2 linked regions of the Saccharomyces cerevisiae S288C genome follow. The gene in region 2 interacts genetically with the main gene of each other region. Each region holds a gene or a part of one and is shown on either strand. Other genes may lie near its edges.

What was found. Genes that interact genetically often act in the same process or in processes that back each other up.
Region 1: mutations in GCN20 (region 2) and FPR1 together harm fitness more than expected from each alone (negative genetic interaction), as found in Saccharomyces cerevisiae (3 studies listed by BioGRID, with this or other methods).

What each region holds. Positions count from the first base shown.
Region 1 is NC_001146.8:371,382-375,407, forward strand, and holds FPR1 (peptidylprolyl isomerase FPR1), read right to left. Parts: upstream 846-4,026; coding exon 501-845; downstream 1-500. Other genes in the region: EAF7 (Eaf7p), read left to right, coding at 1-264; YNL134C (uncharacterized protein), read right to left, coding at 1,070-2,200; FYV6 (Fyv6p), read right to left, coding at 2,790-3,311; ribosome biosynthesis protein KRE33, read left to right, coding at 3,940-4,026. UniProt on the Saccharomyces cerevisiae protein: PPIases accelerate the folding of proteins. It catalyzes the cis-trans isomerization of proline imidic peptide bonds in oligopeptides.
Region 2 is NC_001138.5:156,244-164,087, forward strand, and holds the start of GCN20 (putative AAA family ATPase GCN20), read left to right. Parts: upstream 1-6,244; coding exon 6,245-7,844. Other genes in the region: YFR006W (putative Xaa-Pro dipeptidase), read left to right, coding at 1-1,509; YFH7 (Yfh7p), read left to right, coding at 3,056-4,117; FAR7 (Far7p), read left to right, coding at 4,292-4,957. UniProt on the Saccharomyces cerevisiae protein: Acts as a positive activator of the GCN2 protein kinase activity in response to in response to low amino acid, carbon, or purine availability.

The DNA.
Region 1 (4,026 bases), on a different chromosome or scaffold from region 2:
GAAGGTAAAGGAAAACAAATTGAATCAGAAGGGGGCAACTTAAAGAAAAAAACGGAAAACAAAAAAGGAGATGATCAACAGGATGATACCAAAAAGGATTCTAAGGACAAAAATGAACCATTAGCAAAGAGAACTAGGCATTCATCATCCACAGGTAATACTAGCAATGAAACCTCGCCGAAAAGGAAAAGGCGGAAGGCAGGCTCTCGTAAAAATAGCCCTCCTGCCACAAGAGTTTCCAGCAGGCTACGAAATAAAAAATAATCACTGCTCATATATAGATCGCGATAATAAACGCTCATCCGTTCCATAGAGGTATCTGTATTTAATGTAGTGTAGCAGATATAGAATAAAATAACCTTAATGAAGAAATAGAATATACGTATGCTTCTCCTTGTCTAATCTTTTGTAATTATATATCTATTTCAATTAAGGCTCAGATACTTACCATAAACATAAATAAAAAGCAGAAAGGCGGCTCAATTGATAGTACTTTGCTTTTAGTTGACCTTCAACAATTCGACGTCGAAAACCAAAGTACTGTTTGGTGGAATCAAACCTGGGAAACCACGTGGGCCATAAGCATATGGGCCAGGGATGGTTAACCTAGCTTTTTCACCAACAGACAACTTTGGAATACCAACATCCCAACCCTTGATGACTTGGCCGACACCGATGTTACATTGGAATGGAGAGCCCCTGTCAACGGAGGAATCGAATTTTTGGCCGTTCTCCAAGGTACCGGTGTAATGAATGGTAACCAAGTCACCTGTCTTTGGGAAGGTGGCACCATCACCTGGGGAAATTCTGTCAATTTTGACGTTACCTTCAATTACTTCAGACATTATTACTTGTTTTGATTGATTTTTTGCTTATACTCGAGTTTAGGTGAAAGGCCTTACTTTAAGCTTTCACGAGTTTATCCACCAAATTCTTTCAACGACGTCTCTCTTCCGGCAATTTTTTTTGCCCGAAAAAGACTAAGGCGGGTGAGGGGAATTGAACGGCACTATAATGTGGAGGTAAACAGAATGATCAAGCGCTATATACATAAGTAGCTATAGATTATTTATTTCAAGACGGCAACCAACTTTTCGCCAGAATTCCTCCCGTGCTTAATATCATCAAGTAACTGTGGGATATCATCTAACCCGTTCTTGTAAACTTTCACTGGGATGTGGTGGATTTCACCATCATTGATTTTTGGATTGATGAACTTAATAAATTTTATGGCGGCTTCCTTGTATTCAGGGTCTGCTGGCAAAGTAAACGTGCCAAATGGGACGTCGTTACCTCCTATCAAATATAGAAGGGTTCCTTCAATACTGACGTTTTGCCTCCTGTCTTCCTCCTTGATATCTTTTTCGGTTAAAACGGTCAATTGAACGACCGTAGCGTCTAAGTCATCAGCGGCACATTTGTACACCTGTTGAATAGTTTCTGTGTTGGAGACACAGTCCACCAAGTAAGGAATGTTGTTGTACTTCTTTTTTATCTGTTCGATAACGTCAGCATCGTGGTAGTCAAAAAGTTCATCTGCACCGTACTCTTTCAACAATTTTTCATGTTTACGAGAAGCAACGACGATGATCTTGCTGAAACCGTTTAGTTTTTTTGCCAATTGAATAAGCATCTGGCCAACAGCAGTGGCACCACCCCAAAATAAGATGGGTTGATCTCTTTGCGCTTTGGAGGGCTTCCATGTCATGTCCAAGCCAAAACTATGTGTAAGGATCATACCAGCCGTGGTCAATGAGACTGGGAGGGATACTGCCCCTTCTAAAGATTTTACGGGGCCTTCTGGTAGCTTGTCTTTACCGCACAATCTAAACTCTCTGGCTGGTTTATAAGCAGTCTCGGATGAAATGGCAGAGTACTCAGCAAAGGCACCGTTTGAGGGGAACCTCACTGAAGCACCGTGAATAACCCCATAAATGTAATCACCAATGGCAAAGCGTGCAGCATCAACATTTGGGCCCAACTTTACGATTTGGCCGGCTGCATCACAGCCTAAGAGGGCACCTTGAGGACCAATCTTGAAATCAATATGTTTCCAATCGGTAGGGTTACCGGCAACGGCGACAGTCTTAATTAGAACAAATCCTTCTTCTAATTCAGGAATTGGAATGTCCTGTTTGACTACAGCCTTGCCATTTTCAATGACAACGGCTTTCATGGTTTCTGGAATCGAGGCGGACATGCTTGATATGCAGTATGATATTGCTTTTTGCTGTGTATAGTTAACGATTTTTTTTCAACTAGAATTACAGTACTAATCAAGAAGTGAGAGGAAGAAAACGGCAAAAAAAAAACTCTCTCCTTTTAAATCGAAGCATTGCCGAAATACCTTAAAAACGGTCTTAAATCCTTAACATCTGTCCTTACTAATCGATGCCAATCCAACGGAGGGAGCCCATATGCTAGGTACTAAGAGTACGCAGGGGCGGAACCGCGCGACAACCGTAAGCGGATCCGAGGAACTTTAGTCAGCAGGGGCTGTGATGACCATTAAAAAATTGCGGACACAGGTAGTGGAACGAGCAATCAATGTGATCAATTTGCCATTTCATTCCACGAAATGGTTTCCATTCTAAGCATGAATGCTTTGACGTTACGGGTGTTGGTTATTTCGGTTCTTTTTATTGCTTCCGTGGGCACGTACGAGAAGGGAAGATGAATAGAAAAAGAGTTTCCGAGTTTTGTATGTCCAATGTTTACATAATTTATATAACTTGAAGTTTAATCTTGGCATAAAGCTCTAGTTGTGACGAAGTGTGTAGGCCATCACATCAGTTCTCCAGTTTTCTACCCAATTTTTTTATGGATACCTTGATTTTTGGTTTAGGGCTGGATGTCTTTACGCCCTTTATTTGTGTTTTACTGCCCAAACTAGTGCCGGTCTCTAAATATTTTTCTGTATTAGTAGTAGAATCGTTCTCCATTAGTAATGCTTTTTTTTTCTTTTCAAAATTGATTGCCTTGACGTCTAAGTAGTTATTCAGTTCTTTTTCCTTTTTTAGCAACTCATTCTTGCTCTTCTGGTAAAATTCCAGGTCCTCTTTACTCAACCTAGTAAAACTTTCACGGTCTCTCACCAAACCGTTATATTGTTTTTGTTTACTAATAGCATTAGACCTAAGCTGATCTCGCAGGGACTTCCTGGTTTTCCTTTTATATTCCGCTTCATATTTTTTTTGCTCCACTTGCTCTCGTATCCTCTGGGCCTCTACATTACCAACTCCTTCTGACACGAATTTCAGTGGTTTTTTCTCTCTTGCACTATTAGCATTATTATCACTGGTAGATGACATGATGATATAACAGAGCCCACAGTCTTTTGTTGGAACCGCTTTCTCTAGGCTTCGATGGACTTACATCTAATTGCACATTCTCGTGCGTTTAAACGTCATTTTTCCCTCAGATTGGCAGTGCATCAAAAGTAATTCCTAGGGACGACAAAAAGGCGGAAAAGGTTTCAGAAAAATAAGCGGACTTAGCTCAGTTGGGAGAGCGCCAGACTGAAGAAAAACTTCGGTCAAGTCATCTGGAGGTCCTGTGTTCGATCCACAGAGTTCGCAATTTGAAAAATTTTTTTTAATGATTACGCATGTGGATGTGTTCAGTATCAACCGATGCTCGCTTTTCCAATCAAATGATACAAGCCAGACCGAACATTGCATGTTTTCCATTGTAACTTCCCAGGTATATCTGAATTAGTTGTAAAAAGTAATAGTTTACCCGGAATCGTGTGAAAAATTTTGAAAAAAAAAAATGAAGAGCCAAGATACAATGAGATGAGATGAGGTGCTGAAGATGCATGGAGATTCTGTATTTATCTCAAATAAAGTACGCAATAGAGTATATAAGCCAAGTCACCTTTTATATTTCTTAGTTTTTAACTTGCAAAGACTTATAAGAGACTTATAAAACAAGGAGAAAATGGCCAAAAAAGCTATCGATTCAAGAATCCCGTCACTGATCAGGAATGGTGTTCAAACCAAACAAAGGTCCATATTTGTCATCGTT
Region 2 (7,844 bases):
GGAATTTTACAGCCAGAGTACAAAGATAAGTATTATTACAGTAAAGAAAAAGGGGAAGAAATGGGCGAGGTAGCAAACGTAAATGAAATTCCGGTCAAGATAAGAAATCATAAGTATCCTGCGAAAGAACATAACTTGAGGGTTAAAGATTTGTTGTTAAATCGCAATCCGAAGCTATCAAAGATATCCACAGCATTTTTTATTGCTGGTGAAGAATTAGAGGGAAACAAGTATTGTGACACCAACAAAGATTTTAGACAGAATAGATATTTTTATCATTTGTCAGGTGTTGATATACCTGCTTCGGCGATATTGTTTAACTGTAGCACAGATAAGCTGACATTGTTTTTGCCAAACATCGATGAAGAAGATGTCATATGGAGCGGTATGCCTTTGAGTTTGGATGAGGCAATGAGAGTGTTTGACATTGATGAGGCCTTGTACATATCTGATCTGGGGAAAAAATTTAAAGAATTGCAAGACTTCGCTATCTTTACAACCGATTTGGACAATGTTCATGACGAGAATATTGCAAGATCACTAATTCCTTCAGACCCTAACTTCTTTTATGCTATGGATGAAACTAGAGCAATTAAGGATTGGTATGAAATTGAAAGCATCAGAAAAGCTTGTCAGATTTCAGACAAGAGCCATTTGGCCGTTATGTCCGCGTTGCCCATCGAACTGAACGAGTTACAAATACAAGCTGAATTTGAATACCATGCAACCCGTCAAGGTGGTCGTTCTTTGGGCTATGACCCCATTTGTTGTTCTGGACCGGCATGTGGCACTTTACATTACGTCAAGAATTCAGAAGATATCAAAGGTAAACATTCCATCTTAATTGATGCAGGTGCAGAATGGAGACAATATACAAGTGATATCACCAGATGTTTCCCAACTTCAGGCAAGTTTACTGCGGAACATCGTGAAGTTTACGAAACCGTTCTTGACATGCAAAACCAAGCAATGGAAAGGATTAAACCTGGTGCTAAATGGGACGATTTACATGCACTGACACACAAGGTTCTTATTAAACATTTCTTAAGTATGGGTATTTTCAAGAAAGAGTTTTCTGAGGACGAAATCTTTAAAAGAAGAGCTTCTTGCGCTTTTTATCCCCATGGACTAGGGCATATGTTGGGGCTTGATGTACACGACGTTGGTGGTAATCCAAACTATGACGACCCAGATCCAATGTTTAGATATTTAAGAATCCGCCGTCCTTTGAAAGAAAATATGGTTATCACTAATGAACCAGGTTGCTACTTTAATCAATTTTTGATCAAAGAATTTTTGGAAAAGCACCCCGAAAGATTGGAAGTTGTCGATATGAGCGTATTGAAAAGATACATGTATGTCGGTGGTGTTAGAATTGAAGATGATATCCTTGTTACCAAAGATGGTTACGAGAACTTAACTGGTATTACTTCTGACCCTGATGAAATTGAAAAAATCGTTCAAAAAGGTTTGAAGAAACCCCGTTCAGGTTTCCACGTAATCGTTTAGGTATTAACTTTTTTTTACTCGCTTCTAGAAGTTTAGTATATTCTTTTGTACACAGAATTGTATATTTTTTTTATAATCTTGGATTCACCATTTAACTAGATTTGGAAATATAAGGAATGGCACTGAAAAAATTAAGGACCAACCCCGAAGAGCAAAAAATGAATGCGAATTCTGTGGATCGAACACAGGACCTCCAGATAACTTGACCGAAGTTTTTTCTTCAGTCTGGCGCTCTCCCAACTGAGCTAAATCCGCTTCTATTTATGAAAAATTCATTGTTACAGGAACTATAGGACTATAATAACTAGCTGCTAACACCTTTAAATGTGACTTTTCTCATAAGGAAATCTAGCGATTCAGAATTCGAGAATTTTGCAGATTGCAAAGTTTTCTTTTTACCATAATATTTGAGAATGTTGTAAAACTTGAGATAATTATTCGGATGTCATTGTTGATTGAAGATAGCATTCCTATGAGTCGCCCTCGAGGACTTGGATCGAAAAATCTACATAATATTAGTAATTACTATTATTGTTGGAATTGGATAAACCGTCGTCCACCTATTTGAGAAATAGGTAATTATTATATGAGTTATTTGGTTCCTTTTTGTTAAAGTAATAATTTGAAATGCCATCCATTTGGTAATATTCATGTTATTGGCATATTATCATATGCGGTTCAGGAAGATGACATAAAAGTTGAGAAACAGTTATCAACCCTAATGGAAGCTGAAATGCAAGATTGATAATGTAATAGCATAATGAAACATATAAAACGGAATGGGGAATAATCGTAATATTATTATGTAGAACTACCGATTCCATTTTGAGGATTCCTACATCCTCGAGGAGACTTCTAGCATATTCTGTGTACATAATATTATGGTCTTGATCAACAATGCAATCCCAACAGTTATCAAATTATTCAGAAAATTGATCACATTTTCGATAAATCTATTATGAAAGTAAAATTTTGACTCATACCTAAGTTCTCGTTATTCGTTAATCTTATGAACTCATTAACCTTGGCGTTTCAGCATCCGCTATGATTACTAGTGCTTAAACCTTGTTATTCATGCCTCATAATTGATGCCATCTTCTAACCTCGAGCGTGATAAAATTTTTGTAATATGAACACCAATCGGCGGAAGATCATCCCAAAGCCACATATGATGGTGCCTTATAACATTAATAACAACTTCAACTGCTGCATACCGATAATATCTTGACGATTATGCATTCGTGTCCTGATAGCTAATGCCATGAAACAATTCTTTTCAATCGCACTTGCACCTTCGTGAAATAGAAGGGTTATCTGGGCTTATCAGACTTGTCCACAGTTTACATATAATTTTTTTTCTGTATTAAATTTTGTGAGCTTTCTTTTTACTCAAACGAACTGTGTTATTTTTCGTTCATTAAATGCGTACCTTTAAGCATCATCAAGTATTGCTCTTCGGGAAAAATGAAGTAACCTTGTTAGGTTAATTTCACTAGTACTATACATATTTTATCCTGTATCATACCAGAGGATCATTCTAGCCACAATGGTCGATACGCATAAACTAGCAGACGACGTTCTTCAGCTATTGGATAACCGTATCGAAGATAATTATAGGGTTTGTGTTATCCTAGTCGGTTCTCCAGGCTCCGGTAAGTCTACTATTGCGGAAGAACTTTGTCAAATTATAAATGAAAAATATCACACATTTTTGTCAGAGCATCCAAATGTTATTGAGGTTAATGATAGGTTGAAACCTATGGTTAACCTAGTAGACTCTTTAAAGACGCTCCAGCCCAATAAAGTAGCTGAAATGATTGAAAATCAGGGGCTGTTTAAAGATCATGTTGAGGATGTTAATTTTCAACCAGTCAAGTACTCAGCCCTTACATCAAATAATGAAGAATGTACCGCAGTAGTTGCCAGAGGTGGTACTGCGAATGCCATAAGAATCGCAGCAGTTGATAATCCAGTCAATGTTAACAAGTTGGCCCAGGATAGTATCAATATAGCGCAAATAGTCCCAATGGATGGTTTTCACTTATCTCGCAGATGTCTAGACCTATTCAAAGACCCACAAACTGCCCATAAAAGAAGAGGTTCGCCCTCAACGTTTGACAGTAACAATTTCTTACAATTGTGTAAAATTCTAGCCAAGACGTCCCTATGTAAGGTCTCCTCACATCATAAATTTTACTCCACTTCAAGCGTTTTTGAGAAGTTATCCAAAACTTTTAGCCAAACAATTCCTGATATCTTTGTTCCAGGATTTAACCATGCACTAAAAGACCCAACTCCAGATCAGTACTGTATTTCCAAATTTACAAGGATAGTTATACTTGAAGGGTTATACCTACTGTATGACCAAGAAAACTGGAAGAAAATTTACAAAACATTAGCTGATACGGGAGCACTTCTTGTTTATAAGATTGACATAGACTATGAGGCCACCGAAGAAAGGGTGGCCAAAAGGCATTTGCAATCAGGGTTAGTCACGACTATTGCAGAAGGACGAGAGAAGTTTCGCAGCAATGATTTGTTGAATGGCAGGGATATAGATAATCATTTAATTAAGGTAGATAATATCGTCCATATCCGCAACGACTAGAAGGTTAGGCGGAACCTTGTATATATTTTTGTAAAATCGAACTGAATACAGATAATTAAGGCGCGCAAGCAAAAACGGCATTCTTTATGAACTCTGCAGAGGTGCCCTTTATTACGACATATATGGGAAGTAATACATATTGATTCTACAAGAAGTTCAAGCCAAGGTTTAGATATGAGTGACCAAATCAACGTTTTGTCAATGCAACAACAACAACAGCAGCAGCAGCAGCAGCAGCAAGTATATATGTCTCCTCAAGCAGAAAACTTGAATCATATGTACTTGTTAGTTAACAAGCTAGTGAAACAGTTGAGGGAAAATCAAGCAGAAAAGGCGAAAATACTAAGGAACATAGACATATTATCCGGAAGCTTAAACAAGTATGAGACATCTGAAGAACCTCACGATACCACGGAAAATATTGCATTATTTAATAGATTTCTAGAACAAAGAGGGAAAGCTCCTATTACTGAGAAAGAGCAACTAAGCAACAATCTGGATGAAAATGCGAAAGATGACGTTATGCTAGGAGTGTTGAAGCGCCAAAATTCAATGCTCCGGAAAAGTTTACAGGAATCCAAGCAGGTAACCCTTGAATCCATGGATTTATTGTCTTACTCCGAAGACTCTTTAAATTACATTGTCGCCCAATTAAGAGGAAACATTCTAATGCATCATAAAGAGACTATCAAATTGATTAGGCAGAAATTCCAGACGGAGACAATTCCCCTCGAAGATGAAGAGTTCAAGATGTATTTGGAAAATGTTAATGGTCTGCAAAAATTGACAGATATATCTCACACTTATAGATTACTACTGAGGTTACATGCACAAGATTGAAACTTTGCCCTTTTGCTTCCAATGAAAGCAAGATGACAAATATACATGCTTCTTATATTCGAGATTGCGCAAAAATTCGAAGCTCATTTATGAAGGCTTTTTCCATTCTGATATATGTTTATGAAATTGAAAAAGTAACGACGGTGGAACATTTTGCGGGAAAACAACTCACAGAATGTCTTGACGTTCTTTTCCTGCAGTTGCGTGCGTAAGATATCCTAAGCTACTGTATTATTTGCCAAAAATAATAAAATGTTGGAGGAAAGCCTCTATAAATACACAGGATATATATGTTTAATAAACATATATAATTTCCTCAATATTTGCAAAAGCATTTTGTTGTGATGAGAGTCGATTATCGTTTACCGATTAGTATCTATACTATTAATATATTTTCATATAATTAGTATAATCTCATATACGCTGCCAGAAGATAACATGAAAATTAAGAAACAATCATCAGCTTCAATGGAAGTTGAAGTGCAAGGATAAATAATACTATTTAGAAATATGGATTTTCCCTCGTTGACTAGAAGATCTGTGAAGATTGGGTGAATAGTTTAATAATTATTGGATCCCATTATTGATCAAGGCTATAATACTTGACTATTTGGCGAATTTTGAGATAATTGTTGGGATTCCATTGTTGATAAAGGCCATAATATTATGTATACAGGATATACTAGAAGTTCTCCTCGATGATATAGGAATCCTCGAAATGGAATCTATATTTCTACATACTAATATTACGATTATTCCTCATTCCGTTTTATATGTTTCATTATCCTATTGCATTATCAATCCTTGCACTTCAGCTTCCTCTAACTTCGATGACAGCTTCTCATAACTTATGTCATCATCTTTACACCGTATATGATAATATATTGATAATATAACTATTAGTTGATAGACGATAGTGGATTTTTATTCCAACACACTAATTATCATTCGTTACATCTCAAATTGGTTAGAGAAGTTACAAACATTATTATTGATTTATCCAAGGATAGTTTTCACAAGAAAACAAGCGCAAGTGGTTTAGTGGTAAAATCCAACGTTGCCATCGTTGGGCCCCCGGTTCGATTCCGGGCTTGCGCAGTTTCTTTTTTTTCTGATTTTTATTTTTTTGTTCCTGAAAATTTTTCGTATTATTAGATCTAGTAGAAAATGAAAGACATTTGAAAAGAGAAATATATATTCTGCAGTAAGCTAGCTAAGACTAGTCGTTTTGAAGCGCTAAAACGTTAACTTCGATTCATAGCACAAAAGGTAAATAACTTTTTTGAAATGGCAAGCATCGGTTCGCAAGTGAGAAAAGCTGCTTCTAGTATTGACCCTATCGTCACGGATTACGCAGTGGGCTACTTTAACCACTTGTCCGGAATAACTTTTGATGCTGTTCAAAGTAAGCAGGTAGATTTGTCCACTGAAGTGCAATTTGTGTCCGATTTATTGATTGATGCGGGTGCGTCAAAGGCTAAAGTTAAAGAACTATCGGAAAGTATTTTGAAGCAATTGACTACTCAACTAAAGGAGAACGAAGCCAAATTGGAATTGACCGGTGATACGTCCAAGAGATTACTTGATATTAATGTCTTAAAGAGTCATAACAGTAAATCCGATATCAACGTCTCATTAAGCATGCTGGGTGTGAACGGTGACATCGAACATACTGGTAGAAAGATGGAAACAAGAGTTGATTTGAAAAAACTGGCCAAGGCTGAACAAAAGATCGCAAAGAAAGTCGCCAAGAGAAATAACAAATTTGTTAAATACGAGGCTTCTAAATTGATCAATGACCAAAAGGAGGAGGATTACGATTCTTTCTTTTTGCAAATCAACCCTTTAGAATTCGGTTCATCCGCTGGTAAATCCAAGGATATCCATATTGACACTTTCGACTTGTACGTTGGTGACGGTCAAAGAATTTTGTCCAACGCCCAATTGACTCTAAGTTTTGGTCACAGATATGGTCTTGTGGGCCAAAATGGTATTGGTAAATCTACTTTGTTAAGGGCTCTATCTAGAAGAGAGCTGAACGTCCCCAAACATGTTTCGATTTTACACGTGGAACAAGAGTTAAGAGGTGATGATACAAAGGCTTTACAAAGTGTGCTGGATGCAGACGTTTGGAGAAAACAACTATTAAGTGAAGAAGCCAAGATCAATGAAAGATTAAAGGAAATGGATGTATTAAGACAGGAATTCGAAGAAGACAGTTTAGAAGTTAAAAAATTGGACAATGAAAGAGAAGACTTGGATAACCATTTGATACAGATTTCTGACAAATTAGTCGATATGGAATCTGACAAGGCTGAAGCTAGGGCAGCATCAATCTTATATGGTTTGGGGTTCAGTACGGAGGCACAGCAACAACCCACTAATTCCTTTTCCGGTGGTTGGAGAATGAGATTGTCCTTGGCAAGAGCCTTATTCTGTCAACCAGATCTTTTGTTGTTAGATGAACCTTCCAATATGTTGGATGTGCCATCCATCGCTTATTTAGCAGAGTATTTGAAAACATATCCAAATACAGTTTTGACAGTTTCTCACGACCGTGCATTCTTGAATGAAGTGGCTACAGATATCATTTATCAACACAACGAAAGACTAGACTATTACAGAGGCCAAGATTTCGATACCTTTTACACCACAAAGGAGGAACGTAGAAAGAATGCTCAACGTGAGTATGATAACCAAATGGTTTACAGAAAGCACTTGCAAGAGTTTATTGACAAATACAGATACAATGCTGCCAAATCACAGGAAGCTCAATCAAGAATTAAGAAATTGGAAAAATTGCCCGTTTTGGAGCCACCTGAACAAGACAAAACCATTGATTTCAAATTCCCTGAATGTGATAAATTGTCTCCACCAATTATCCAAT